Rhinolophus ferrumequinum: one gene and its partners. The protein of the gene in region 4 purifies or fractionates together with the protein of the main gene of each other region. This does not show direct contact. Links are inferred from orthologs where the notes say so. Each region holds a gene or a part of one and is shown on either strand. Other genes may lie near its edges.

The links.
Region 1: the proteins of ANAPC4 (region 4) and MAD2L1 purify together in Homo sapiens (affinity purification with western blotting; 14 studies listed by BioGRID and IntAct, with this or other methods). This does not show direct contact. The link is inferred for Rhinolophus ferrumequinum from reciprocal best matches to the Homo sapiens genes ANAPC4 and MAD2L1.
Region 2: the proteins of ANAPC4 (region 4) and ANAPC7 purify together in Homo sapiens (affinity purification with western blotting; 14 studies listed by BioGRID and IntAct, with this or other methods). This does not show direct contact. The link is inferred for Rhinolophus ferrumequinum from reciprocal best matches to the Homo sapiens genes ANAPC4 and ANAPC7.
Region 3: the proteins of ANAPC4 (region 4) and ANAPC2 purify together in Homo sapiens (affinity purification with western blotting; 12 studies listed by BioGRID and IntAct, with this or other methods). This does not show direct contact. The link is inferred for Rhinolophus ferrumequinum from reciprocal best matches to the Homo sapiens genes ANAPC4 and ANAPC2.

What each region holds. Positions count from the first base shown.
Region 1 is NC_046301.1:3,654,797-3,662,566, forward strand, and holds the start of MAD2L1 (mitotic spindle assembly checkpoint protein MAD2A), read right to left. Parts: upstream 3,009-7,770; 5' UTR 2,433-3,008; coding exon 2,360-2,432; intron 1,542-2,359; coding exon 1,395-1,541; intron 1-1,394. UniProt on the Homo sapiens protein: Component of the spindle-assembly checkpoint that prevents the onset of anaphase until all chromosomes are properly aligned at the metaphase plate.
Region 2 is NC_046308.1:6,116,800-6,124,268, forward strand, and holds the start of ANAPC7 (anaphase-promoting complex subunit 7), read right to left. Parts: upstream 3,016-7,469; 5' UTR 3,015-3,015; coding exon 2,797-3,014; intron 1-2,796. UniProt on the Homo sapiens protein: Component of the anaphase promoting complex/cyclosome (APC/C), a cell cycle-regulated E3 ubiquitin ligase that controls progression through mitosis and the G1 phase of the cell cycle.
Region 3 is NC_046295.1:83,295,177-83,302,456, reverse strand, and holds the start of ANAPC2 (anaphase-promoting complex subunit 2), read left to right. Parts: upstream 1-4,314; coding exon 4,315-4,602; intron 4,603-4,805; coding exon 4,806-5,428; intron 5,429-6,459; coding exon 6,460-6,592; intron 6,593-7,280. Other genes in the region: TPRN (taperin), read left to right, coding at 660-909, 1,004-1,110, 1,193-1,255; microtubule nucleation factor SSNA1, read right to left, coding at 3,171-3,278, 3,630-3,829, 4,265-4,316. UniProt on the Homo sapiens protein: Together with the RING-H2 protein ANAPC11, constitutes the catalytic component of the anaphase promoting complex/cyclosome (APC/C), a cell cycle-regulated E3 ubiquitin ligase that controls progression through mitosis and the G1 phase of the cell cycle.
Region 4 is NC_046288.1:71,131,601-71,138,828, forward strand, and holds the start of ANAPC4 (anaphase-promoting complex subunit 4), read right to left. Parts: upstream 3,019-7,228; 5' UTR 2,883-3,018; intron 2,757-2,882; 5' UTR 2,747-2,756; coding exon 2,618-2,746; intron 1-2,617. UniProt on the Homo sapiens protein: Component of the anaphase promoting complex/cyclosome (APC/C), a cell cycle-regulated E3 ubiquitin ligase that controls progression through mitosis and the G1 phase of the cell cycle.

The DNA of each region.
Region 1 (7,770 bases), on a different chromosome or scaffold from region 4:
CAGACAGCTCAGACCAAGCCGTAGGCTGGGTGCGGCCTCTTGGCCTTGCTGAGCCAGGCGGGCCGGATCCACGTTTTTATCAGTTTCGCTCTGAAAAGGGGGGGATTGAGAGGGCTTTTTTCCTTCTAAAACTGGAAATAATCCAAATCAAAACAAAGAATACAAGAATACAAAAATACAAGAGAGAAGAAATAGGGTGGAGTCCATAAGAAGGCTAGAGGGAGTGGAGTCGAAGCAGACTGGACAATTTACCTCTAGGAAGAATAATTCCTCCGTTTTAACTAAAAGAAAAGGGAGATGTTAAATAGGAATGTCTAGATACCTGAGATGAAATATCACCAGTGTGGTCTCCAAGGAGACAACCCCCAATCCCAGTAGCTTAAGCAAGTCTCGCTTCTCCATCAAATCAGGATGAAGACACAGATCCACAGTTGCCCAGAGGTTTCAGGCCAGATTCTGCGAGTGCAGCCTTATAAAGGGCTACGGGCGATTTAGCTCCGAAGTTAATTAAAAACATGATGCCTGCCACTTCATCTTAAAAACGAAGCTACTTGAAACAGATAAATATGATTTGTGAATTAAAACATTATAAAAATAAAAATAGAAAGCCACCACATAGCACTTTTTGGAACTAGTACTTTGGGAAGATAGGGAGAAACATCCTACAATCCAGAAAAATTAGAAGTGAGAATCACAAGTGGAGAGAAACATGAAAGAGAAATTGATGGGATTCTAGGAGAGAGAAAAAAAAAAAGAAATAGATGGAAAACAAGTACTGATCCAACCATAGAGCAACTACTTGAGCTAAAGAAAAAAAATGAGTATTTAGAAATGGCTTACTGACTCACAGGCAGGATTTTTCAAAAACAAAAGTGGAAATAGGTGAAAAAGAAAACTCTACCTACAGGTGCTCTATTATAGAGTAGTTCTTTTTCTCCTTTTTTATTTTTTTTGAAGTTTAGTTCCGAGGTTGAATACAATTTAATTTCCTCGATCTTAATAATGGTGGCGTTACACTCCAAGCAGGTACAGAAAATACATTAATATATAGTGTTTTGTTCACAAATAATAACACTATCATAATTATGTAAAATTCCAACTTGTTCCATTGGCCAAACTGCAAAAGGCATTTCCAAGGAAGTCGATAGAGACAGTTTTGTTAAGCCACATCAGAATCCTAACATCAAAATATTCAGCCCACTCAAAATGTGATGGGTAGGATTTCTTTCAATTTTTATTATTTGCTTCCTCCCAATTGAGAGCCACTATATTTGAGATGGTCGTGTGTTTTACACCTGCTATGTACAAAGTTGAAAAATGACCATCAAAATCCTACTTGGAAAATGGACATCCTAGGCCTACAAAACTCAAAACTGTTTCCAACAATTAAATACCTTTTAGTTGTTCCACCACATTATTTAGGTATTTCATGAGCTCAGGATCAGTAGTTACAAGCAAGGTGAGTCCATATTTCTGCACGCGGGTAAAGGTTTCAGATGGATATATGCCACGCTGATATAAAATGCTGTTGATGCCAAATGCTGAAAGCAAAAGAAATGATAACGACAAGTTATTATCATTTTGTAACACTGGAAAACAAAACATCTTTAGATGCAGCTGCGGTTTCATTAATAGCAATAAGCTATAAATGCCTAAACACTTGTGTTTGTGTGTCTTGCTGAAAGCAGAGTGGTACAAAGTACCACGGAACAGCCTCAAAATCTTGTTTCTAAGTAAGAGATGCCTGCAATTAATTGGCAATAAAAGAAAAATGCCACACATGCAGTTTACCACTGCCAAATGTCCCCTCGTGGTAATCCAAGTGCAAACTCTGATTATGTGCTTAGAGGATCTCAGAGTAGGCTCCTGCGCCCCAAGCGGCTAAGCCCCTCCCTCTGTTTTCCTCCCTCCTCTCCTCGCAAGTCCTGCCAGGTTCTGTCATTAGGTACAAGTGGCCTGGTCCAGGACAGCGCTTGCCAAAGGCCGGTCCGTCCCCACCAATCCGTCACCTCGGGGTGGGAGGGGTACAACACACGCTCGACTCCGCCCAGTCGCACTACGTCCTAAGTCGACGGGCGATGGCGGGGGGGGGGGACTTTAAAGAAGCGCTCGGAGAAGGGGTACTTCCCCGGCAGGGTCTCGAGAACACTAGGCCTCCCCCCCACCAGTAATTAGGGTCGCGTCCGAAGGAGGCGCCCGCGCCCGCCCGTTCCCGGATGTCCCCCGGCGGGCAGGAGGCCTGCACCCTGGGCCGCTCCGGCCCACCCGCTTTCCCGCCGCAGGGCCGCCCGCGGGTCTCCCGGGCGTCCGGGCGGCCCGGCCCGGCCTCCGGCCTGCGGCCTGCACGAGGGGGACTCACAGAAGAACTCGGCCACGATTTCGGCGCTCCCGCGCAGGGTGATGCCCTGCTCCCGGGACAGCTGCAGCGCCATGGCCAGGCCCACAGACGCGGCGCGCGCACACTCGCGGACGGCGCCGGCAGCAGCTCCCCGCCACGGGTTTCAAAAGTAACGACGCAGCGCGCCGTCGCCTCCGCGCAGGCGCAGCCCGCCCTTCCGCCCTCGCGGGAGCTGGCGAATCACGCAGTCGCAGTGGGGAGGCGTGGTCGGCTGTCCCGGATTGTCCGCCGCCGGTGGGGACCTGTCGGTCACCTGTGGCCGTGGTCGGCTGGATGGGACCGAGGGGAGCGGGCAGACCCCGGTGTTACTGGCCGCTGCCTAGCGACCAGGAGCACAGTTTCTGAGTTTCAAGGATATTTTCAAAGTGCCACGAGTTGTCCGCCAGCCGCGTCTCTAGTGGTCCTGGGGACCCCCCGTGGACTGTGGAAGCGTTTGCCAAATTCTTCGGGGGTTCGCAGAGCAGCCGCGTGCCGGCCGCGCAGCCACAGCCTCAGAGGCCTGCGCACGGCGGGAGCGCGGCTTTCGCTGAGAAGGGGGCCGGGGCTAACGGGGCGAACCCAGCCGCCGTAGTGTCCCGCGTCTGCGTCGGTCCGCGGCCAGCTCCCCTCCACCCCAACCCCGCAGGGAGGCGGGGGCGGGGGCGGGGGCGGGGCCGCCCGTGGAGCCCCGCCTGCGCTCCGCCCGCCCCGCCCCGCCGCGCCCCGCCCCGCCCACCGGCAGGTGACGGCCCGTCCCCCAAAGGGCCCATCGACACGGAAGAACTTCCCAGGGAATCGGGACTCCCACGTTCAGTGACTTTTCATGTTAGGCTGAGAAGTGTAATGGAGGTGGTGCACCCTTAATGTTCACAGCCATTGTGAAATAATTTTATTCTTCACGAGGCTGGAACATTTATTTGTAAAATGGCTCTGAAAAACTTTACCAGACGTACTATGTTATTTATTTAAGGAATGTCTGAGTTAATTCGTTTTCTAGTGCTACACAACAAATTACCACAAATGAGTGGTTTAAAACAACACTCATTTAGTGTCTGCGTCCTGTAGGTCAGGAGCCTGAGCGTGACATAGCTGGGTGGTCTGCTAGTCTCACTAGGGTGAAATAAAGGTGTCTGCAAGTGAGGTCTCATCTAAGGCGGGGTTCCCCAAGCCCCTCGGGTGTTGGCAGAGTGAATGTCCTCGTGGTTCTTGCCAGATGTTGGCCAGAGTCCATTCTTGTGCCTTTGCCAGGTCATCCTTCCATAGGTCTTGTCACCAGAAGTCTCTTAACTTCAGAGACGTCTCTTTTTAAAGGCTCATGGGATTAGGTCAGACCCAGTCAGGTAATCTGGCCTTGAACCTAATCCTGGAAGCAATATCCCCTCAAATTCACAGGTTCTGACCACTCAAGGATGTACTCCCTAGAGGCCCCGGATTTAGGGCGTCATCTTCCAGTTCAGTCTGGCATATATCAGATTTTGATCAGTTTGAAGAGTAAAACAGGTAAAACAGGCAATAGTATTCTTCTTACATCGTTTAGTCTTGGCGGTACGTGGTATGTGTGTGTTTAAATCACCATCTTTTCACTCCTTCCATCAGGGAATTTGGTTAGAGTCAGAATTCTGGCATCACACTTGTAGAGCACGATGGCCACCTTACCCCACATAAAGATTGTGTCTTTTTCTGGGAACTTCATATTGACACTCAGCACTGCGGGAAAGATTATACTTTGTAAATTGTCTATGTGAAGATGCAAATACTTAGTACAATTTGGAGATTCTAGAATTTAAAAGCTTACCAAAATACATAAGTTTTCCATACAGGAAATATTTATTAAATACTTTGTGTTCTATGAGGAGATATAAGAAATAAGGTTTAGGAAGGTGGTCTGTACTTTTTGAAAATTTTGTAATCTAGGTTAGCTTAAATATGCATACCTAAAAAAAATAAAAAGTGAAAGAAAATTGAAGGCTCACAAACTTGGCTTTACCTGGCTTCTGTCTACTTCAGTAGCCCCCTTTCAGGTTGTTTTCCTTTCTGCCTGGTCCTTTAGCAACTTTTCCACCTCGGGACTTTTCATAATGCTCTCTCCTCTGCCTAGAAATTTCATTTTATCTGCTCAAATTGCTAATTACATTTATATTCTTTTTTAACTTAAATGTCACTGCATTAAATAAATTTTTTTAACCCCTCAAAGCATCTCACAGCGCTATTTCAGAGCATTGATTTAATTGTTACATTGTTATAATTCTCTGAGGACTTGTGGTGTATCTTCCCTGTCTTGGTGCAGGACCCACGATGGCATTTAGTGGGTGCTCCACAAATATTTGTTGAATGAGGAGCATTTGAATATTTGTCTAGGAAAACTTCATGGAAGAGCCCAAAACGTTTTCCAGTTGGAGAGCGGATTGAATAGATGAAGTAAGGCCACTTCTAGGGAGCTTTGAACGCCCATCTGATTTGATGGAACAGGAGGTACCAGGGATTTGTAGGTTCTTAGGACTGACATAATTAAAGGGCACTTTTGCAAATGTAAATTCAGTAAAGGTTGTAGAATGAATCGCATAAAGGACAGTCTAGCGTGGTGGTCCTCAAATTTGAGAATGTGAAAGAATCCCTTGGATATTTTGGTAAATATATAGGTTCCTGGCTTCTATTCCCCGTTCTCCAAGTCTGATTCAGTCCAGGAGCACAGCCAGTAGCTACAGGTGCCTCTCGAGCACTTGAAATGTGCTGGTCTGAATCAAGGTACGCTAAAAGTATAAAATACCAGATTTCGAAGACCTACTACTATAAAAAATATAAAGTATTATATTGATATGTGTTTCAATTGATTACACACTGGAATTATATTTTCTGTGCATTGCAGTAAATCAAATATATTATTAAAATAATTTCACTTGTTTTCAGTTTTTAACCTGACCAGCAGAACATTTAAAATTACGTATGTGGTTCATGTTATATTTCTATTGGGCAGTGCTGGTCTACTTTGTGGGGTCTCGGAGAAGACATGTTTTAACTAGCATCCCGAATGATTCTGATGCAAGTCTCTGAATCACTCTTTGAAAAGCAGAAGACTGATAGATACTTAAGTGGTGCTGGCCTAGGTGGTTGAGAGCCCGGACTAGATGGATGCTAGAGAGTTTGAATAAGAAGGTATGCATCATAGCAAGACATTTGGAAACAAGAATTGAGTTGATGACTGATACGGAGGAAGAATGAAATGGTAGTACAGATAAGTCCAAGATGGCAGGCCTGCAATTCAGCAGTAGTGTTGGCCAAAGCCATGGGGGTGTTAGGAAGAGCTGCCCAAACTCTGAGCCTGTTCTGTCTCTTATTTATTGTCATAACACTTAAGATTCTAGAAGCTTCGGAGGGATTTTTTTCCCATTAACTTTTGGGTGCTTGCTTTGACGTTGACCCCATCTTATCTAAAGCATGCACACTTTACAAAATATTTTTTCAAAACTTGTGTTCAGTTACTCGAGTTTACCTTCATTTACAATGCAGTCAGTTCTTTCTAATGTGTCTTGTTTAGGGGAAGTCTATTTGGACAGGGAGAAGTATAAATTAAGATATATTTTTGAGAAAAATTCAAGCAGAGTGCATAACCAAACAAATCTATATTAATCAAAGATAATTATGAAAGCGCGTGTCGTAAACAGGACTATATTCCGTATTAGGATGCTAAAGCCAGAAATACTCATAAACATTTCTACAGGTAGAATCAAGGAGGATTTTAGACGGAAAGTAACTTAATTAATGGCTTAGTTGAACAATCTTATAGATGAGGAAACAGGTCCAGAGTGGCTATATAGTTTAAGATTCAGTATTTAGTTAGTAGATTTAGTAGCAGAATGTAAGGTTTATGACTTGTCTCTTTTGAAATTATATCTATCAGAAGGAATTCTAAACAAGGCTCTTATTTTTCAAAGATTATTTAAAAAAATCAACAGCTTTTAGACTAAGAGTTTTTACTCAGTAACCTGTAGACACAATTTACCAAGAAAATGGCAGTTACAATCCAAATAAATTTTATCTTAATCCGCAAACAGTTCCAGCTGCCAGAAGATGGCACTGTTTACATGTGAAATAATACCTTTTCATGATTCAGTCCTTGTGTATGTGCTTCAGTTGAAAGTAAAATAAAGGAAAAATGAATTTAGTGGTTTCTGAGGTATTTGAATTGTTAAGCCATAATATATTACAGAATTGGTATCGTTCTTTTAAACATTTAGTGTGTGTGCGGGTGCACAAATGCACACCCAGAAACGTACCCATATGTATATTAATATTTACATTTAATTTGCATATTAATTTGTTTTCCATAAAAAAATTAGATAGTTGAATCATTACTCTTACAGACTTAGGAGAGGTTTTCTTCAAATTGTCAGGAGTTATTTTATTCTTGAGGCCAACATCTTGAAATAGAGCAATTTATTCTAACTGATAAAACAGTGACAGATGCTTTCCTTTGTGATACGTTTAATAAGACATTCGCCTACTAAATTTTGAAGAAAAATCCTGTGCATACAGGTATTTAATTAAGTCAGTTTGGGGAATTTGCTTTTTTTTAAAAAAAGGATGCTGTCATAAATATTGAAGTTGTTTTTTTTTATAGATCATTTCTCATTTGATGTGAAATTTTCAGCTCTGATCACTTAAGGTTTATTTTGTAGATCTAATGAATGTTTATATTTTGGGGGCTTAAGAATTAAATTGCATGATGTAAATCTTCTAAAGATCCATTTTTTCCACATACTTTACCCGTAAGATCCTGATTGTTGGTCCACATGTTCATAAAGATAGCACAACAAATTTGAATCATGATTTTTATTAATAAGCAGTGGCTTAATAAAGTCAACAAATACATCTCTGTACTGGCATACTTCATAATTTTCAATGCTCCAGTTGCATCCATAGGATATTAAAATGTTATCTTTAGTAAAAATTAAGTACTAAATATTATTGAAAACATAATTCTTTAAGTTCTTATAATGAAAAATGTGGGCTGTTTCTTATCAGAAAGCATTACCATGTTTTATTATAATTTTATTTTGATAATTTTATTACAATTATGATAGTGATATAAAGCCAATTAGAAGTCTTTTGATAACTCAACCATGGTTAGGTACCAAAGGTATAATTTGAAAGGTAGGTGATAATCTTACTCATATTTAATTCCTAGAGACTATTGATGTAGTACGTGCGTGTATAATGTGGATATGAAGGAATGGGTTCTGTAATCAGTTGGATTTGACAGCACGCTATATTTTTAAAATATAGGTGAAATTCACAACAACTCAGAACAGTTTCAGATATGGAAACTCCCTACACAAAGCCACTGTGAAGAATTAAAAAGCCATAGTTGCTGTTAAACTAATGAAAACAGATTT
Region 2 (7,469 bases), on a different chromosome or scaffold from region 4:
AGATAAAATGATTAGCCTTATTTGACAAAAGTTTTTTAAATTTTATATACAAAAGTAAACTTTACCGGCACTAGGAGAATTTTTATCTCTTTGAGTCTCAGGGGCTTCAGGATAGTATAATGGAACCAGTGTTTCAAAAGTTTGTCTTTAACCTTAAATGTTGCTCACAAGTGTTAATAACTGCCTAGAAGCTGGCTACCATTTTTAATAGGAAACTCACATTTCTAATCTCCAATCCCAACCCTCCACCTACTTCTTCCCAAGTTGAGTTTACATGTTTTTCTTTGATAGGTAAAAGCTACAGCTGCTTAATATGAAAGAACAGACAGTTAATTTCTCAACAAATGAAGGATACTCAAGAATGGTAGCGTAGATTAGAGGTTGCCAGGAACAGGGGAAGTGGGATCAGGAAGTGACTACAAATATATAAGGTGTTACTTTCTTCGAGTAATGAAAACATTTTGTAATAGACAATGGTGATAGGTGCACAACTCTTGTGAATACATTTAAAACCACAGAAATGTATTCTTTAAAAGGGTGAATTCCACAGTATGTGAATTTTATCTTAATAAAAAAAAAATCTTAAAAAAAGATAGGAACTCTAAACACTGCATAAAGTTACAAAGGAAATTCAAGGACTGAAAAGTTGAAAGGTATAGTCCAGATAGTTAAGATCTCTTCCAATTCTGAGATTCTTTGTATTTAATGAAAAATAAGATTTGATAGAAAAAGTTACTATACTCAGAGAAAGCACTCAGATATTTATATTGTAACACACGTCTATGTGTACAGCAAAAATTATCTCTGGAATGATGTAAGAAACTGTTAATAGCTCTTTGCTGGAGAAGGGAATTTCTGGAGAAGGGAAATGTCACAGTGAGGTTCAAGATTCAGGGACAGGTACGTATCTGCATACCCCTTCTGCTCTGTTTGAATTTTTTTACTGTGTTGTATTGCCAATTCAGTAAGAAAATTTTAAATATAAAGGTCAGAATTTAAATGCCTCCTGAAGCTAGGAAACTGCCAGTTAACCTAATATGAACAAATCAGAAGATCAAACTATCCTGTGACATCTAACTATCCTGTAACATCTAACTATCCTGTAACATCTTCAAGAACCAAGAATAACTGGTGCATACATTCCCAATGGTGGAAACTGTGTGCCTTGACAAATCACTCAGAACCAAGCGAAAGTCTCCAGAATAAACACAGAAGGCTGACAGAGACCAGGGCTCCTCCCTGTCAACACTAAGTGGATGGTGGCAAAATGATGAGTCGCACGTAGTGAGGTCCAAAAGCACACTAATGGAAATAAAATCGGGAGCAGCAGCGGCATCACAGGCACTTAAGGGGCCTTTCTTTTCTGACCTAGACAGCTTCAAGAGGATGCCAAATGCAAATGGGTAGAAGATTCGATTATAATGCTATTTAGAGGCAAGAGACTGTCGTAGGTCAGAATGGAGACCTTAGAGTCAAAGGGACCAAAATCCAGACATCGTGGCTCCTCCAATGACTAAATGTGTGGACTTGGACAGGGTATTTCCCCTCCCTGAGGTTGTATGCACTTCCTTAGCACATTCAATAAGCGTGAGGGCTTACTGCACACAGCCAGTGTGCTGACTTCATTCGGTGTTAAGAGTGGTGCAGAATATAGATCTTAAAAGCTCTCATCACAAGACAAAAACTTGTAACTATGTGTAGTGAGGGATGTTAACTAGACTTACTGTGGTGGTCATTTGGCAATATATACAAATATGGAACCATTCTGTTGTACACCTGAAACGAACGTAATGTTACATGTCAATGATATTTCGATTAAAAAAAAGTGATGCAGCATATAAAACAAGGCAAAGGGATAGACTAGTGAGGGTAAGGAGCCATTCTTACGGGCTATCGGAGTTGGAACCTGTAGGAGGAGGCAGGTCTGTGATAAGGACTCTAAGCAGAACAGCAAATGCAAAAGCCCTGAGTTGAGAATGAGCTTGGCACGTGTTCAAGTATCCGCAAGAAGAGCCACGGAGGCTGGAGAACAGTGAGCAGCGGACATGAGATTAAGTGGGGGAGAAAGATGTGTGGCTCCCTTGGCCATGGGAAAGAACCTGAAGCACAATGGAGAAATTGAAGCAGGGGAGCGACATGCACTCAAGGCTGGCAAGGGCCCTGTATTTCTTCCGTCATTAGACTCAATAAACGGCAGCTCTTAAAACATGAAAGGCGCACTGCAAGTCCTTCAAAAGGCGCCACTCCCACCCAATCAAGGGAATCTCCCGTTTTCTGGGGTTTGCTGAGGCGAGAAAAGGAACTACACTCAAGGCGGATAAAAATCAGTCTCGGATGTAGGACGAAGGTATAAAACCAGGGGACTGGCCTCTGAGCTTCGTCGAGGGAGAAAACGTTCCTCAGGAAGGAGCTGGGAAGGGAGAAGTCAGCCCAGTGATGTGACAGTCGCCGTGCTGGGTGACAGGTACCTCAGGAAACCCTACGCTCCCAACTTTCGGGAAACCCTCGCCAGGGAGGTCCTCAGAGCCTCCGCCTTCCATTTCTCCGAGCCGTCGCCGCACGACACATCTCCCGCAGCGAGTTCATCCCAGCGCCTGGCACAACGCGGGGACCCCATGAACTCAACTTGCGTTCCTAACTCAGCTCGGCTCGACGAGGCCTCGCTGACCCCGGAGCCTCAGCTGGGCTGGGGCCCGCGGCCGCTCCTTCCCGCCAGTCCCCAGGCCCCCTCAGCCCTCGCTCCCGAACAGGCGCTGCTTTCTCCTCAGCCCCAGGCCGCTCCCCGCCTCAACTCACGGGTTGTTATTACTCATTGTAAGTAACAAGCTGCTGAGGAGCCGCACGTTGGAGTGCAGCCCCGCGGCCGCCATGTCTCGTACGTGGTCTATCACATTCATCCTGCCGGGCAAAGCCGCAGGGAGCGGCAGTAGCGGCACGAAAAGCCGGTAAAATATCTTTAAGGAAGACTTCAAAATGGCGGCCTCGCCGGGGTCCATCGGGTCCATATGAGGCATCGCCCCCAGAAAAATAGGCAACTACTGAAGTGCCTGAGTAAATAAATAAAACTCAGTTCCCCAAGCCCTCGTGAGGTGAACTAATTTGTTGGGTTTTTTTTTTTTCTAGCAAAGCTATGTCGTTCTGAGTTGCAAATTTTATTGAGGACTTAAAAATACGATGGAGACAAAAGGCACCTCAGTATGAATACATGCTCAAAGGAAATGAGTATGAGAGGAATTTGTCTCTCCCAGGAATTAATAAAAATGTATGAACATTAATCATAAATAAAAGAACACAGTAGGTTGTATGTAGGGGGAAAGCCCCAATAGTTGTATTTGAATATTTTAATCAGGCGCCAGGGGCAGTCCTAACTGCTTTTACAGTCACGCTTGCGCACTAGGCTGAAGGCGCCACGCCCCCTCTTGTCAGGTATTGTACCTGCTGGAGTCAGGATTCGTTCAGCCTTTGGATAGCAGTCTTGGGTCTAAAAGGGAATATTTCTACCCTGTGAAATGATTTACTAGCTCAGAATGAATACTGGCTAGGTTGAGTTTTAGCCATCCTAACATGTGTTTTTTAATTTGTAATTCCCCAGTGACATGGTGTCGAGTATCTTCTCATGCTTATTTGCCTTCTGTATATCTTCTTTGGTGAGGAATCTGTTCAGATCTTTTTCTGATTTTTCAGTCAGGTTGTTTGTATTCTTATTGTTGAGTTTTATGGGTTCTTTGTATGTTTAATAATAGTCCTTTATCAGATATGTGTTTTGCAAATATTTTCTCCCAGCCTGTAGGTTGCCTTCTCATTCTCTGGGCCACCCCCTCATTTAGAAAAAAAAAAAAATGCTTTCAGTAATGATCATGAAATGAAATGACTAATAATGGCCAGAAAAGAAACAGACCGTGAAAATATTTATTAAACTTCATCTAAATAATAATGCTAGTACAATTTTTAATGCAAAGTAAAACCACTATTACAGTACAAAAAGGTAATGGATTAATACTTTTTAAATACATTAATGTATTGAGAAAGACTTATCCTACCTATTGGATTAGCAAGAAAATGAATAAAATACAGTTTCTGTTTTTGGTCCTTAAATTCTGCAAAATTGTCAGTGACTGTCAAAAGTCATTGTCTTTGTATATTCATGTTCAATTAGCACTATAAACAGATTTGTCAATTGTTGAAACACAGTCTTGGTGTTCCATGAAAAGACAGAAGACACTTAAATGCACGTTACTAAGTGAACGAAGCCAGTCTGAAAAGGCTACATACTGCATGATTCCAACTGTATGACATTCTGGAAAAGATGAAACTGGAGACAGTAAAAAGATCAGTGGTTGCCAGAGGTTAGAGGGGAGGGAGGAATCAGTGGAGCACAGGGGATTTTTATGAAAGTGAAACTATATACTATAATGGTGGATACATGTCATTATGTTTGTCAAAACTCATAGAATATACAACATGGAAACCTAACATAAACTATGGACTTTGGCTGGTAATGATATTTCAGTGTAAGTTCATCAGCTGTAACAAATGTACCACACTGGTGGTGGATGTTGACAGTGAGGGAGGCTGTGCATTTGTGACACAGCAGGGGCAATTGGGTATTTGGGAACTCTCTACTTTCCACTCAGTTTTGCTCTGAATCTAGAACTGCTAAAAAAAAAAGTGAAGAAAAAAGAGGGGTGTGTGTGTAAAAACTGACCTGTTCTGTGTGTCAAACATGCCAGATACACCACTGTATCTAACACACTTAGAACAATGTCTGGCACACAGTGAACACTATAAATGCTTGTTATACGTTTCTCTCCATTTGAAATATTTTATAGTTAAAATCACATTTAATAATAGCCAAAAATTGGAAACAATTCAAATGTTGACCAACTGATAACTATATAAACCAAATGTGGTATATCTGTACAGTGTAACCTATTCGGCACAAAAATAAAAAGAACTGCTGATAACATGGATGAATTTCAAAAATATTGTGCTGTGCTAAAAATAAAATCATGCTAGGTCAAAGAAACCAGACAGAAAAAGAATCATATAATCTCTGACTCCATTTATATTAAATATCCAGAAAAGACAGACCGACAGCAACAGAAAGATTTGTGGTTGCTTGGTGGTGAAGGTAGGAATTGGGAAGTGATTGCGGTTCCCAAAAGATCCCTCCTTTTGGGATTTGATGGAAATTTTCTAAAACTGGATTGTGATGATTGCTGCACAACTCTCTAAATTTACTAAGAAATAATTGAATAATACACTTAAAATGGGTGATTTTTATTTTATGTAAATTATACCTCAATGAAACAATTAAAAATAAACACACCTATAAACCACATGACAGTCACCAATTTACCCTCTCTACACGGCAGTGTAAAATATAGTTAGGTTCATATCTGGATTGACATCCTACTGCAAAGTCACATATCCTCCAGTCCTGGAATAAACCAACATTCATAGACTCGAGACATTTTTAGTTGAAATTGCCATACTTTCTAAAAAGTGATTGCTCTCTCCTCTAATCCCTCGATTCTCTGAATGGGAATTACAGTTTGGACAATTCATTTGATAACTAATGACCTCATGCCTTGTACATCTATCCACCGTATTTAAATCTGTGATTGTTAAATTTTCTCATCTCTGTGTAAACCCATCTCACAAGAGTAGGTGGGATGCTTCTTTGCATTCCTGAAGTGGGGAAGACTGGGGGAGAAGCATCTTGGAGTATAATGCTCCAAGATTTGGATACTTATCTGAATCTAAGGAAGATGCTGGGAAGACTAGCTGGGTATTTGAGTCTGGAATTCAGAGACGTCTAGAAGGAAGGTATGAATTTGGGAGTTTTCAGCATTCAGATGCCATTAAAAAAAACTTTATAAGAACAATTTCAAATATATTAAAAAATAGAGGTATTGGTATATTGAGTCCCCATAAACCATCACCCAACTTCAACAATTATCTATTCATGACCAATCCTGTTTCACAGAGCACCCCCCACCTTCCTCCTTACCCTTCAAATTATTTTGAAGCAAATTCCAACCATTATATAATTTTATTCATGAATATTTCAGTATTCTCTAAAAGAGAGACTCCTTGTTAAACAAAATGACAGTACCATGATCACATCTAACAACAATAATTCTTTATATCATCAAATATCTAGTCATGTCTAGTAATTGTTTGTGTATATTTTACTGTTGGTTTCTTTGAATCTGGATCCAAACAAGGTCCATTCTTGCAATTGGCTGATTATGTCTCTTAAAAATGTAGGTTCTTCCTCCCTTTCCTTTTTACCCTTGTAATTTAATTCTTGAAGAGTGAGATGGTGTTTAAACCCATGAGACTGGATAAGATCACCAAGAGGGTGAGTGTAGTTAAGAGAGTTTGAAGACTGGGGCAGTTGATAAACAGGTAAATGTGTAACAGCTGGTGAGGGGGAAGCCATGATTTGTAGTGTTTGCCAATTTTCATGGTGTAAATACTCTTACCATGGACAACTGCAAGCTGCCAACTGTAACAAAACAACTGTCAGACAAAATACCTTGGGATGTAATAATTGGCTCTCTAGGTGAGGACACAGTTAGCCCTAAGGCATCTCACTATTAAGAGGTCAGAGAGGAGAAACCAGCAAAAGAGGCTGAGAAGGAACAGCCAGTGAGGTGGGAAGAAAAGTAAGACAGTGGGGTTCTGGAAGACAAATGAAGAATATGGTTCCAAGAAGGTAGGAATAATCAATTACATATATATATATATATATATATATATATACACACACACACACATGTGTATATATGTGTGTATATATGTGTGTATATATACATATATACACACATATGTGTGTGTGTATCTATATATATATATGGCAACAGGTCAAACAAAATGAGAAATGGCCATTGGATTAGCACCATGACAGTCATTGGTGACCTTGACAAGAGCATTTTTGGTGGGGCAGTGAAGAGAGGATGGGGGAGACTAGTGTGCAACAGTACAGATAGATCATTCTTTTGAGGAGTTTTGCTGCAGAGCAGTGGTTCTCAATTGGGGGTGATTTTGCCCCCAGGAGACATTTGGCAATGTCTGGAGACTGGGGGTGGGGCTTGCTTTGCTACTGGCATCTAGGAGTAGAAACAAGGGATGTTGATAAACATCCTGTAATGCACAGGGCAGACCTGCACAATAAAGTGAAGTAGAAATTTAAAATTGTAAATTTAAATATCAAGTCCAAAACATCAAGATGTCAAGGTTGAAAAGCCCTGTTTTGCAGGGAAGGAGGAAATGGGTGGTATCAGGTGGACAGAAGTTTTTTTTCCTTTTTTTATAAGATGGAAAAAATAACATGTTTATATGCTGATGGGATTGAAGGAGAACACATCACTGTCTACATGGCAGGGGAAAAGTTGATGATCTCTATAAAGAAATAGTGCTAAAACAGACTTGTGAGATTGATAAATCCACACAAAGAATGC
Region 3 (7,280 bases), on a different chromosome or scaffold from region 4:
GACACCCCCCCTCGGTGAGCCTTAGGCTAATTGTTTGTCGTGTGGGGTGACAGCACCTGGTGCCACTTTCCTGGTGTCGGCCTGCGACCACCACCCGGCTTCGGCTCCTCCTGTGGGCCCTTGCCCAGCAGTGGTGGTCCGTGCTGAGCTGGGTGGACAGGACTGTCCAGGTGCCCAGCAAGCTGGGACATGAACTTGGCTCTGGAGAGAGGCCCAGCCGACAGCAGGAGCTGCTGGGAGCAGAGGATGTGGCCCCCACTGCAGTCTTACATGGACTCTGCTCCTGCGTGGAGCCACCCAGTGGAGGGAGGTGTGGCTGGTCTCTGCTCCCTGAGAAGGCAGGCAGCCCTCTGACCTGCGAGCTGCCTGAGGCTTATGGAGACCCCGAAGATGCTGGCTGGGGCCCGGTCCCTGGGAATGGTGGGTCACGGGTGATGTGACCCTGGGCCCAGGGTGCTGTGGGCAGCCAGAGCCAGCTGTCCTCGGGTCGTCGTGGCCTGGGCCTGCAGGGTCCAGGTGGACGGTTTCTCTGATGAGAGGCACCCCATTGCTCAGAGCCTCTGAAGGTCCTCCCCCCCACCCCGTGCCACACTTGGTCCAGCTGGAGGACCCTGGTGGCAGGGCAGTGGGGGCCTGGCTGATGTGCCTTCTGTCTGCAGATGAAGATCTCCTTCAATGACAAGAGCCTGCACACCACGTTCGAGTACCCTTCTGAGAGCTCCCTGGTGCAGGAGGCCGAGGCCCAGGCCCAGGCCGAGGGGGAGGGGGAGGAGGGCGAGGAGGAGGAAGAAGAGGAGGGGCCCAGCCTGAATGCCACAGTGGAGAAGCCCTTCGTGCTCTTCCTGCCCCGAGCCACGTTCGTTAACAGCGTGGTGCCCGAGAGCCCTCGGCTGCCAGACGGCAGCTCAGGTGAGTGTCCCCCGTCTGGTGGGCAGCCCAATGGGTAGTCTGGGCCACTTGTGCATACACCCACATGTCCACATGTGTACCCCTGGGCCTGCAGGCCTGTCCAGCTACACCCCCAAACACTCCGTGGCCTTCAGCAAGTGGCAGGAGCAGACGCTGGAGCAGGCCCCCAGCGAGGTGGAGCCCACGCAGAAGGATGTCATGGTGAGTGGGGTGCTGGGCGCAGGGAGGAGGGGGTCTCTTAATGCCTGGTCAAAGCCCCATTGGCTGCCTTCCTGCCTCCCAGCTCACCCCTGCCAGTCACAGCGACCTCTCAGACTTCCGAAGCGAACCAGCCCTCTATTTCTGACTCCAGCCCTGCCAGGATGGCCAAGCTCTGCCCTCGTTCTGTACCCACCTTCTGCCCTGCCAGGCTGTGCCCCCATAACCCACCCTCCCTTCCCGAGGCTGCTCCTCCCCTGGGTCCATCTGGGTCTCCCTCTCCAGCCCTGGTTTGGGGGCACTGCCTGTGGACGAGGGCCAGGTGCTGCTGGACGCCGTGCCTGGCAGCTTTGGGTGGAGGACCGGCTTGGCTGCCTGTCCTGCAGGACTACAAGCCCCCCAGCCCACCCCCTCACCCCCCACGGCTGAGCTCAGCCTGCCCCCTTTGTGACGAATGGAAATCTTTTGCCTCCGATGGTGGACTCAATAAACAGCACTGGACGAGCCTGCCTCCTTCATGGTCCTCAGCCGGGAGGGGGGTGCAGAGGCAGGGGCTCCAGTGAGGGGCTGGCAGTGGAGAGGAGCCCACGTGGGATTGGTGTGGGCCCAGCTTGGATGTCTGTGCCCGGGGTACAGGAGGTGGGCCCTCCCCCACACCTCGCAGTATTGCTGGTCCAGGTTGTCACTCCCCACAGTCCCAGCTACCCTCCCAGCCACCTCTTTGCCAAGGACAGGGACCCCCATGAGTGCTCCCAGCCGCTGGTGCAGCCCCCTCCCACCCAGGGCTGACACGGGGGGAGCTGTGGTAGGAGGTGGGACTGGGCCAGCTCTAGGGTCTGGAACCCTGCCCAGGGACGGTCAGTGCTGCCGCTGTTTTCTGAAGGGCCAAGAGCCTAGGCGGGGACCACAGGCAGAGGCGGGGGGCATGGGGGCAGAGCCTCAGGGACCTTGTGTCCTCTTTGGCCTGGACAACTCCCTGAACCACGAGAGCCCATGAGTTCCTTTGGGGTCGGTGCTGGTGGCTGGCAGGGAAGCCCAGCGGGCCCTGGGAGTGGTGGGCAGATGGCCGGGCTCTACCTGTCCAGTTGCTGGCCTGGAGCCGGGGCTGTTTACAGCCCAGATGTGGAACGTGACCTTGTCCCTTGTGGGGAGCCCAGGCTGGGGAGGGAGGATCTTTGGTGTTTTCCTGGGGGGGCAAGCAGCCACAGGGACCCCACGGGCTGACAGACCAGCAGAGGAGGACCCAGAGGACCCAGGCCCCCTGCAGAGCTGCAGATGGGCGTGCCTGGTGTGTGGCGAGGGGGTGGAGGCGGTGCTGCTGCCAGGCGGAGAGCCAGGAACCACGGAGCTGGGCACAGCTTTTGCTGAGGGACCTGAGCCCAGGAAGGCCACACCTTGTCCTAGACACCAGGGGGTGGCAGAGCCCCTCAGCAAAGGACGGGCTTCATGTGCCAGAGTCAGGGCCAGGGACCAGGAGAGAGGTGGGCAGTGAGGGTCAGCAGATACCCACACAACCCCGCCTCCCCCCCAGGAGCCACAGCGCAGCTAGGGGGAAGCTTGTATTCTGGGTGTAACGGGCAGCCGCCCTCTCCCAACAGGACACAGGCAGCAAACTGGCATGTACCTTTACAAAGACAACTTTTACTGACAGTCACAGGCCACCAGAGTGAGCCCTGAGGTGAAGGAGGGCCCCAGCCCCTCCGCCACTTGCCTGGCCTGGGCACCTGCCGGCAGAGGGAAAACATAAGGGGATTCCCATGATGCTGAGGCCAGAAGCAGGGCCTTCCCACAACCTGGGGAGATGTGGGGGCTTGAGAGCGGCCCCACGCGGAGCTGACCCAGAGCCCACCCTCCCTGTTGCCCGTGTGAGTGCATGGCTAGTACCCCCACCTGGTGGGCTGCGCCCAAGGGCAGTGGAGGTTGGCAGCTGCCTCTCTCGGCACGCAAGACGGTGAGAGAAAGCAGTTGCTGTCGTGAAGGACAAAGATGCTTTGAAGACAGACTTGCTGGGGGCCAAGCCATCGGTGGGCGCAGTGGAGGCAAGCCTCCCCTCCTGGGCCTCGTCAGCTGTCCTTTCCTCCACTGCTCTTCTGCTCTGAGGCTGTGGCCTTGCTCAAGTTCCCAGCTTCCTTCTTCAGAACACTAAGTAGAGTCTGTGAGCTCTCCAAGATCTGGGAACAGACACGAAATGGTTGTCACTGTCCCTCCTGTCAGAAGCACCCATAGCCCAGCGAAGAGGAAGCCCGAGGGGACAGGCGGATAGGGTCGGCAGGGCCTTTTTTCCCTCTGAGTCTAGCCCAAAGCCCCTTCCTCACTCCCTGGAAAGTCAGGTTAACTCTGGCCCCTGCTGCTGCCGCTCGGCTGCTCAGTCTGGAAGAAACCACAGGGTGGGTACTGAGTATGGTGCAAAGAACAACCGGGGACACACCAAGTCACTCCATGACGGGCCTGGCCGTGCCACAGTCCTGTCACTTCTGTTTGTGGGCATGGCAGACAGGTCCGCAAGCTGTCCCGAGCCTCACCTTGAGATAGGCTGCCTCGGTCTCTGCGATGGTCTGATCAAATTCATTTCGAGAGGCGATCTTGCGTGCCAGGTTCTCATTGACGCGGGCCAGTTTCTCAGTCAGCTGCCTCACCTCATTCTGCAGCCGCTGCTTCTCATCTTCTTCCTGCTGGATCTGCCGGCACAACTCCTCCCGCTTCTGGCACAGCTCCTCGATGCCTAGGGTGGGCGGACGGGGGCAGGGCTGTGGGCACAGGGCAGGCAGGAGAGCACCATCCCATCTACTCTGAATCCCAGTGCTTTGTAGGACAGAAAGGTGGTAGAGAGACCAGGTGCCGGCCGGGGCTCCCAGGGGTCTCAGGTTAAAGGCGGCACCACTGGAGGCCACCGGGCGCTGGGCCTGGAGGCAGTGCGAGCTCAAGCGATTCCTCAGTCCACAGATACCTAGCACCTGGTGCGTGGCACACCAGGAGCTAGGTATTGTGCGCTGGGCAGCTCCGAACCGCCTGCGCGCCGTCCGGGCCGGGCCACCCTCGCAGCCACAGGACAACTAACTTGGCCGTGTGCTGCGGGCCACCTACTGCCGGGGCCTGCAAGCCGGCGACCCCACGCCCTCCCCGCCTGCCCGGCAGGCCCCGCCGCGCGGCCGCTCACACTTGACCAGCTCGTTGTTGTAGTTCTGCATCGCCGCGCCCTGCTGGGTCATGGTCGCCGGCCACTCCAACCGCCGCTCCTGCAACGCCGCCCGCGCCTGCGCACTGCCTCTCAACAGCGCGCGCATCGAGTACGTCATCTCCGCGCGCCTGCCGTTCGCCTCACCGCTGCGCGCGCGCGAGCCTAGCTGTGCGTCATCAGCGCGCGCGGCGCCGAGCGGCTCTGGATGCTGGTGGGTGCTGATGGCGGCGGCGGAGCGCCCCGGGCCGACACAGCAGCTGCTGGCGGCCTGGAATACCGTGAGCACCGGGCTGGTGCCGCCGGCCGCGCTGGGACTGGTGAGGCCCGGGGGAGGGCGGCGGGCCTGCGCGGCGTTCCCCGGACCGGCGCGCTGCATGAGGGCGTGCACCCCGACCCAGCATCCGAGCGCCGCCGAGGAGGGGCAGCGGAGTTTCCGCAGCGGCCCCTGCGCCCTGTCCCTTCCCCACCTCTGCCACCTCTACGCTGTGTCCCCTGTTCCTCACGGTTTTCTGCATTCCAGGCATCCTCCCGGACCAGCGGTGCGGTCCCTCCCAAGGAAGAGGAGCTGCGGGCGGCGGTGGAGGTTCTGAAGGGCCACGGCCTGCACTCGGTCCTGGAGGAGTGGTTCGTGGAGGTGCTGCAGAACGATTTGCAGGCCAACATCTCCCTCGAGTTCTGGAATGCCGTCTCCCAGCGGGAGAACTGTGCCGACGAGCCCCAGTGCCTTCTGCTGCTCCTCGACGCTTTCGGCCTGCTGGAGAGCCGCCTGGACCCCTACCTGCGTAGCCTGGAGCTCCTGGAGAAATGGACTCGCCTGGGCTTGCTGATGGGCGCCGGCGCCCAGGGGCTGCGGGAGAAGGTCCACACCACGTTGCGGGGCGTGCTGTTCTTCTCCACCCCCAGAAGCTTTCAGGAGATGGTCCAGCGCCTCTATGGGCGCTTCTTGAGAGTCTACTTGCAGAGTAAGAGGAAAGGGGAAGGGGGCACAGACCCGGAACTGGAGGGGGACTTGGACAGCAGGTATGCCCGCCGCCGGTACTACCGGCTTCTGCAGAGCCCAGTGTGTGCGGGGTGCGGCAGTGACAAGCAGCAGTGCTGGTGCCGCCAGGCCCTGGAGCAGTTCCATCAGCTCAGCCAGGTCCTGTGAGTACTCGCGCCCGGGCCAGGCCCGTTCTTCTGATTCCCGCTTGCACCCCTGGGCCCTGCTGGCCTCTGCAGAGAGCTGGTGAGCTAGTTGGGGTCTCTGCCACCTGTCCTGGTCGCCATGGACATGACAGGGAGGGTCCACAAGAGCCTTGCGCTGTAACACCTTTTGTCCTGAACACAGGCGTGTCTGTCTGTGACTCAAGTTAGCCCAAGGTTTCACACTTTTTCACTAAGATCCTGTGTGATTCCAAGGTTCTTGGGCCGTGCAGAATTCAACTGTGCCTTTTATAGGCTGTGGGGGAGCAGTGGTGCTCACCCTGTCCTGTAATTGCAGAAGGTGGGCTTGTTATTTCTTCTTTTTGGGAACAAGTTGGAGATAAGGCTGGCATGCTGGGCAAGCAGACACCTCCCTTTGAAGAGGAAAGGATTCTGTTGTTAGAGCCATGCCTTGTTGTACTGGCTCTCCACCTTCTGTGGCCACTACGACAGTTTTATCACGTTGAGAAAAGTGCCAACAGTGCAGCTGTTAGGGAGAGGGTCTTGTTCCTGGACCTAGGAAGTGGTCCTGTTGCTGGTAGGGATCAGGGAGGCCCCAAATGATGTCTGCTGGGTTCGCCCCAGATGAGAGTCACACACAAGCATTCTTTCACGTTTCCTATCTTGAGTCCCTTTGCCATTGTAAGCCAGGGTTGGCCCTGAGCGGCACCAACCATGGCATGTGTACACATGTGGCCAGGTGGCAATGTGTGTAGTTGTTGTTTCCGAGCCATTTCTGGGAGATGAGACTGGCCCCTGAATCGTACATGCTGCTCACATGGGCAAGGTCAGCGTCCCAGCCCATGCAGAAAGGCCAGCTGGGGAGGATGGTCAGGGCCTTGCCAGTGCTGTTTCCTCCCAGTAGCTCTTCCTCAAAGCCCTGTGTACCATGTGCCTCCACCAGGAGGGCCATGGGAGGTGTGTGCTGGGTGTGGGGGTGGTGTGTGCAGCCCATGCGCTGTGCACGTTCCATGGGCAGGGCTCTCCTCCAGACACAGGCTCAGTCTGCTGGAGCGGGTCAGTGCTGAGGCCGTGACCACCACCCTGCACCAGGTGACCCGGGAGCGGATGGAGGACCGCTGCCGGGGCGAGTACGAGCGCTCCTTCCTGCGTGAGTTCCACAAGGTGAGTTCCACATGGCCCCCTCTTGGTTTGTGTCCCGTTAGGACTGGGGAATAGGTTTCTGGCAAACCTGACACCCTGGCTTTAGAAGTAGCCCGAACGTGGAGGCCAGGTGAGCCAGGACCTCACGGGTGGTTGAAGCTGTCTTACTGCTGGGTGGAGGCTGGTCCCTGTGGGCCTTTTTATCCCCCCCCCCCCCCCACCCCCCCCCCCCAGCGACAACCAGGAAGAGCTTGCGACGTGCGCAGCAAGGCCTGTATAGAATCACGTGGCTGGAGGCAGTGAGGGGCCTCAGGGCACCCATGCTATTGGGGCGTGGTCTGGGTTCTGCTCTGAACTCCTCAGAGTCACGGAGGACCTGGCCCAAACCATGGGGTGCCGACCAGCTTGGAGTCTGCCTCCTTAGGGTACAGGTTAGCTGCCATGGGGGCGTAGAGCTGTCCCACAGCAGTGGTCTGGAGTGGGCGTGGGCCTGGAAGCGTGATGGGGTAGCCCCAAGGCTGCAGAGTGTCGGGTGGTCTTCTCGGTGGTTGGACAGTCTGCTGGGGGGACGTGTGCATCCCCGAGAGCACGTGGCAGTATGTCTTGTAGACGTACATGATGTGCTCAGAAATGTTCTCGCTGGATGCTGCATTGTCTGCATGTAGGGGCTGGTCGTGTATGCAGTCCCCAGGGTGTGTCTGTCCTCAGG
Region 4 (7,228 bases):
ATTTTCCTATCTTTTATGTCAACAAGAAACTTGTCTTTTGGAAAAGAATAAGAATGTCCAAGATGATGACAAAAAAAGGGAGAACACAAATAGCACTAGAAAGGTAGCCATGATACAATCAAATAACAGTCAACTTGGAATCAGACAACTTGCATCTGATTTCAGCCGTGTCACTTATTGGCCATGGATGTTGGACAAGTCACTTAGCCATTCTATGTAAATTTCCATTTTCACACTAGTCAATTTCCACCTTGGAGGATCAAGATGGTGCCCAAAGTTCCCTGTGCTTCAAAAATAAGACTGTCCCTACTCCATCCTCTCTACAACCATTGAAAATAAGAAAAGGTAGAACTGCATGTGCTCCTGAAGACCCCGCCACACCTTCCTAGCACCCCACATTCACAGCTTTAACCACTCCCTGCCTTATCTCATAGCGTCCTTCACTGTCCCCTGGGAAGCCAGGACTCCCAAGGAATCGCTCATTCCCTAGAGTCAGTCAGTGCTCTTCTCTGAGCCCATCTCTGCCATTCCTTACTTCTGAAATCCTTCCTCTGCATCCTCTGGAGTTCATGGTTAGGTATCATCAAGATCCCCTATACCTTCATTCTCTTCTCTGAAATGTGCTTCTCACCCGAGGATACTCAGGGGGTGGCCATTTTGCACGCCATGTCCCCTGTACTACTGGGCTAGGAGATGAAGCAGGTTTCCTCCCTGATGCTTGATGTCATTTCTGGATGATTTTTCTTCTTTTCTCTAAAATCCTCTAACTTCAAATCTTATGCAATCAGACCGTACCACACACTATCTCCCTTAATTGCAGTCATCTAAAGACCTCTAGACCAGTTCCCTCATTCCTGCAAGATATGGACTCCTGCCTGGCTCACTCATGCTTTTCAACGCTACTCATCATCATTCTTAGTGATTTCAAGAGCTTTTCAGTTCTCAACTACCTCTGCTCCAATGATCACGTCTTCTGCCTCACTTCAGTCACTCCCAGGGTCCCACCCTTGCCCTTGTGTCATTACCAACAAGTATAAATGCTGCCCTAAGCTCAGTTTCAAACCTCCCACTTTCCATCACCACCTCTGTCTTTCCAGCTCATTCCTACTAATATCCAACTTCAATTCTTCAATTTCACCAAGACACACAATCCATTGATTTTACCTTCTATTCACTGTCCCTTACCCAACACGTGCTCTCACTTCCCCACTTAATCAGGTTAGAATAGAATGCAGGTTCATCATTACAACCAGTCCTCTCACATATAGTTCAACTTCTTAGTATCTCTCTTGCTTTGTCATACTTGCAAAACAACAACCCTGGTTAAACTCAACCATGCCTGCATCCACACAGCCAAAAGAACAGAAGAAACATATGAGTACAACCACAGTCACTACTTTCCCTTGAACTTACCAAGACCACTAACCTCACGTGGCTCTTAATAATGACCAGAAATCCTGTTCGGTTTCCATAGTCAACTTGCCTTGTTGGCTTTTGCGTCTCTCTCCTTTCTCCTCAAACTTCCAATATTTTCTTTTCTCTAGACAGCGCCCTTTCTTCTCACTGAGTCAGTGGAATCAGCAAGTGCCCACGATTATATCTACCCATCTAATCGCACTGATGCCCCCATTCTCTCCCTTCCCTCCTACTGATATGGTTGTGGTTATCCGCATTCCTCTCTAGAGCCATGTCAGAGCTCCAATGCACCTTGGCAGGGGAGAAAGATGAGATTTCATGGAGGGCCCTGAGAAAGTAGTACCCTGGCGTTGAGGTCATGGCAGCCAACACAGCAATGCGGCCCTGCAGGCTGCTAAGTTTCCCAGGCTGAGTTTTCCTTACCATCACAACACAACTCTCACCTGGCCAGGTAATTCAGGAAACCTGCCAAAAGGCCGAAGGAGGGAACACTCACCGGTGAAGGTTTCCTTACAAAATGGCTACCAGGTAACAACTCTCCGCAGAAAGTTTGGCACAACCTGTTGTACTTGACGCATAACATAATGTGAAGTAGAAATGCTAACTGACAACACTCATGCACATTGTCAGGAATCCAGGGAGGTATCACTCACTACCTTGTTTAATTTAAAGGTGTTTTTAATGGGTGGTGGCTGTCCCACCCATGGTGTAAGACTTGCACGGTATAATGTAGATGCTTAAACAGGCCCTCTGCTGCAGCTACATGCATGGACGTTTGCAGCCAGTTTGACAATAACTCATCTTGCTTCTGTTACTAAACTCCAAGCACACTTCCAGCAGGGTCTGTGGATCTACCAGTCCGTGTAGCTCACGCGTAACAACACATCACTGGCTTTCATAAAAAGGCCATTTAACAAATCATCGGCTAAAAGAGACGTGGCGATACTGTGTGTGATTGTGTTCAGCTGTGTGAAAACGTATTTTCGCCACAAAATACGGAAAATGGGCACAGAAATGATCTTTCCTGTATATGCTCCCTTATATACTTTCACTTGACGTTTATAGCCGACCTGGAAGGAAGGGTAGGGTAGACAGGTGGCCTGCCAAGTTCACAGAAGGAGAAACTGAGGCTGGGGCAGTGTGTCCGCGCTCGCTGTCGGTCCGGCTCGCTGTTCGTGGGGCTCCCAGCCGTTTCACTCACCTCGCCCGCGGTGTTGGCCAAAGCAATGAGATCCCGCTTGGGTGACCAGACCAGGAAAATGATCTCCTGTGGCAGCTGCTTCTCTCCCACCACCCGGAAGGACGGGAAACAGGTCGGAAAACGCAACATGGGGGCGACCCTGCAACGACACCCGAGTCGGAGGCCGGCAGAGGCTCCCCGCACACGCCCGCGTCCCAACGGGGCCTGGCGCCCGCGCCGCCCTCACCCCGAGCCCTCCCGAGAAGAGCCCCGACAGCGGAAGTACCTGCGAGCAGCCCTCGGGCGGCCTCTCCCTCCCGCTGCCCGCCGCCGCCGCCGCCGCCGCCAACGCCGCCGCGCGCTCCGGGCACTTCCGTCGCCCGGACTTCCTCGCGAGAGGAAGAAGGCGGCGCGGGTGTGGGAGTCGGCGCCGAGGGCGTGCGGTCGGGACCCGGATGCGGAGGCCAGGACGCGGGGGGTGGACCGCTGCCACGCGGAACGCGGGGCTGGAGGACCAAGCGCGGGTCGGCCCCGGATGCGGGGTTGGGAGGGCGGGGCGCCCGGGGGCGGGGGGCGCGGCGCTGAGGCAGCGCGTCAGCCTGCGGACGGGGCTTGTGTACACGTGTGTGCACGCCCGCAGGTCCTGTCTGTTTTCCCGGAAATTCCTCGCTATGGGTGAACGGACAGGCATAGGTTTAGGAGCGAGGCCGCAGAGACCAAGGGGAGACGAAAAGGAACTCAAACTTTAGGCACCGATCGGCTGGAGGCGCCTTTGACAGTCTCTTAATAGGTGTTCTCAGTCCCGGTTGCTCGGTAGAACCAGCTGGAGAGATTTTTAACTACCCCCCTGCCCAGACAGTATCCCAGACCCATTAATTCGGTACGGGACCCAGTCTTGATTAAATAAACTCTCAAGCTGGTTCCGGTTTGCAGCCAAGGTGGGAGGGCACTGCTCTAAAACCTCTGACATAGGCAATTGTCTTCATTCTTTATCCCATTTAAGCCTCAAAACTTATTGGTAGTAGTAGCCCCACCATAATAATTGAGGACTGTGGGCTCACCTAGGAGTTATCCAAGTTTGAGCATCTGCTGTGTGAAAGAATCTGAACTGCACAAATGCACGGGACACGGGCTCTGCCCTAAAAGGCTCACAGGTCAGCCTGACCGACAGGTAAACCAGAATCCATCTGATGCTTCCTTATACAGGACACATTTGAATGTGTCAACATACTGCTAAGTGCCCAGAAGTTATGACCGGGTTAAGAGAATGTGACACTATCATCCTTTGATTCTTGAACTTAAAATCTGCGATGGCCAATGGGCAGCTGGAAGGCAGGTTCAAAGGGGAAAGGTCAGGGCCTGAGCAAAGATATGGGATTCCCTGTGTACAGGGATGGAAGATGGAGTGGTGAGGGATGTGGCTAATCTAGGCCATATAAAGTCTGTTATTCTGAGAAGTCTATTTTGAAGTCATAAAATAGGTGAAACATATGAAATAAGCAAACTGAATTTGCTGGAAAGAAAAATTAATGTAGGTTGGTGTTGGAATCTCTCTGCCCTACTACAATTTCATTCATTAGGCAACAACAAAAAAACCGATTCAAAGTGGCACAAGTAATAACTAGAATGTATCAACTCATGTAAATTGCAAGTCCGCAATAGGACCAGCTTCAGGGAAGACTAGATCCAGCAACTTCCTATCTCCAAGTACCCAGCTCAGGGTATGTCATCATAAGGCTCGTTCCCCATGTGGTCCCTGGAAGTCTGCTAACAGCTCTGGAGTTACAAGCTTCCTCATTCACAGGGAGAACAAAACACCTCTTCACCAGTCACAAGATTAAAGTCCCGAGCCCCACTGTGATTAGAGTAACCCCTGTCACCTAGCGGACATCAATCACAGCTAAGGGGGATGGAATTATGCCCAATAAAGACTTCCCCAAGAGCTGAGAGGATGTCAATCATTCCTCCCCCAAATCTCATGGCAAGAATGATGCTGCTGAAGGAACCAATCAACTGTGCCATAAGACAATCAATCATAACTACTCAAAGGGTAGTTTTAAGTATGAAGTACATTTTGGAGATGTTCCATCCTGGCAGAGGGAGTCTAAATTGTATCAATTCATGGTGTTCTGTCTCTCACAACTACTTCAGTTGCTGTTCTGGGAAAGAACTTAAGAGACCAACTTGTGATTCCCACCTTGAGAAATGAGTTCTACTAAGAGCTACAGAACCAGTATTCATATGTACAGGAATTTCTCCTAAGGAAATAAGGAGAGATTTGGTTATAAGGATGTCCATCATAGGGTCTTTTACAACAGGGAAAAAATGCAAACAACTTAGATGTCCAACCATAGATTGATTTTTTTAAAAATACGGTACATCCATACTAAAGAATACTATTTTTGTAGCTATAAGTTGATATGCACGTTTATGAAGAGTATTACAAAACTATTCCATTTTTGTGGGAGAAATTTTAGTGTGTCTGTCTGTATAACTATCTATCCTTGGAGGAACATACACAGAAGTCGTCACAGTAATTATTTCTGGGTGGTAGGATTAGAATTGCTTTTCATTTTCTTTGATTTACCTCGCCCATGTATTAATTGTAGAGTTAAAAGGCAGGAACCTTTGTTTCCTTTGTTCTCTTTAAGCATGTAGAATGTTTAGGGGGCTATTCTAGTTTTCTCCCACTCCTCGCCTCCACATTTGCAGATGAAGAAACTGGCCCCTATGTTCAGGCTTAGCTTCTTAGAGATCACTGGTTGTTACACTTCTAGTCTGCAGGGGTATGAAGCAACTAAACAGTGTGAAAAGCTTGTGATGGTCCAGCTAATGGGATAAAACTCCCCTCTCAGAGCTCTGAGACCTGCTTGCTCACTTTTGGTGCTTTCCCCCTTCCCCACCCCGTGTCCTGCTGAGTTAACATTTATACTAAGTCACCTGAAATCAAATAGTAGAGATCTTATCTTCACTTTATTGATTGCAATGACCTTCTTAGCTGACCCTCAAGTAATTTAACCCACGTCCTAATGTCCCAATTAAAATCACATCAAGTAAGTGAAATTGGATTTTCCTTTGCATTTTGTGCAAGCTTTCCTTACCTCCACAGCCCTAAGCGTATTAGCTTCTTACTCATGTAGCACAGTTGGGGTTCTGAGGCATAAAGCGGTATATTAAATGGCATTTCTACTCACTCAATATGTATTTATGAGCAGCTACTACTTGAAGGAATGGGCTCGCCTGGCTACCTGCTGCGCAGGTGGGGAGGAATAAAGGGATGACATGTGCTACCGTCAGTTGTCTCTGATATCACCATGTACAAGGCACAGCTCCAAGAGCCAGTGAACACATACAATGATGTCCACAAGCCCCATCAATGAGCTTTTTATCTGACAAGGGAGACAAGTACAAAAAGTCAACCTAACCCATGATTTAAGTACCTTATAAGAAGTATAAATGAAAAGACAAAAACACACACACATTTTTATTTCACTGGCACAAGACGTACTATTTCACTAGAGACACCGAAAGGACATTATGAAGGAGGTGGCCTCAGACCAGGTCCTGTTGTAGACTGTGATTTTATGTTTAAAAATAAGTCAAACTACTCTCAGATGCCTATTATTTTTACAGATTACTTTGAAGGGGCCAGACATCAACTGAAGTGATTTTCTTAAAATAACCTTGAAAGCCGAAATATTATAAGTTTGAAGGGTTCCAGATAAGGCAGCTAGTCTTGCTCACACAGCACATCCCAACATTTAAACCCTCAGTGTTAGACTTGTCCTCCTATTGACTCTTAAATTCCTCCTAATACTGTTTAGGTTGTTTTCCTTATTCCAGTTCTTTTAAGAAAGAAAAAAATAGTCCTCTCCATATCTTAAGCATGCCTACTGTTACGGACTGAACTGTGTCCCCCAAAATCCCTATGTTGAAGCCCTCAGTACCTCAGAATGGGACTGTATTTGGAGATAAGGTGTTTAAAAAAGGAGAGGAAGGTAAAATGAGGCCATTAGGGTGGTCCTAAACCAATCAGGCTGGTGTTTCCTATACGAGGAAATTTCCTATACGAGGAAATTTGGACACAAAGAGACACCAGTGATGCACACGCATAGAAGAAAGACCATGTGAGGACACGGTGGGAAGGTGGCTTTCTACAAGCCAAGGAGAGAGGCCTAAGAATAACCAACACCTTGATCTTGGACTTCCGGCCTCCAGAACTGTGAGAAAATAAATTATTGTTGTTTAAGCTACACAGTCTGTGCTATTTTGTTATGGCAACCCTAGCAAACTAATACACCTACCATCTGAAAACCTATACAATACCATGTTTTCATCAGATTGTTAATGAGTACCTACAATGCATAAGACATAAAAGTAAATAAAATGGTTACTGACATTAAGAAACTGCAATCTTTTGGGGGATAGAAGCCTTAAATATAATCATATAAGGATAATACATGAAAAGTGCCTCAAATGTGGTGTGGAACGCCAAGGGGTTGAATCCTGGTACTGGTTGGCATCACGGAATTAAGCAAGACGTCCCAAGGCAATGGACTTGGGCCAGGGCCTGAAGGCTCCATAAGACTATAATAGATGGATGTATGGAGGGAAATATTCCAAACAGAAAGA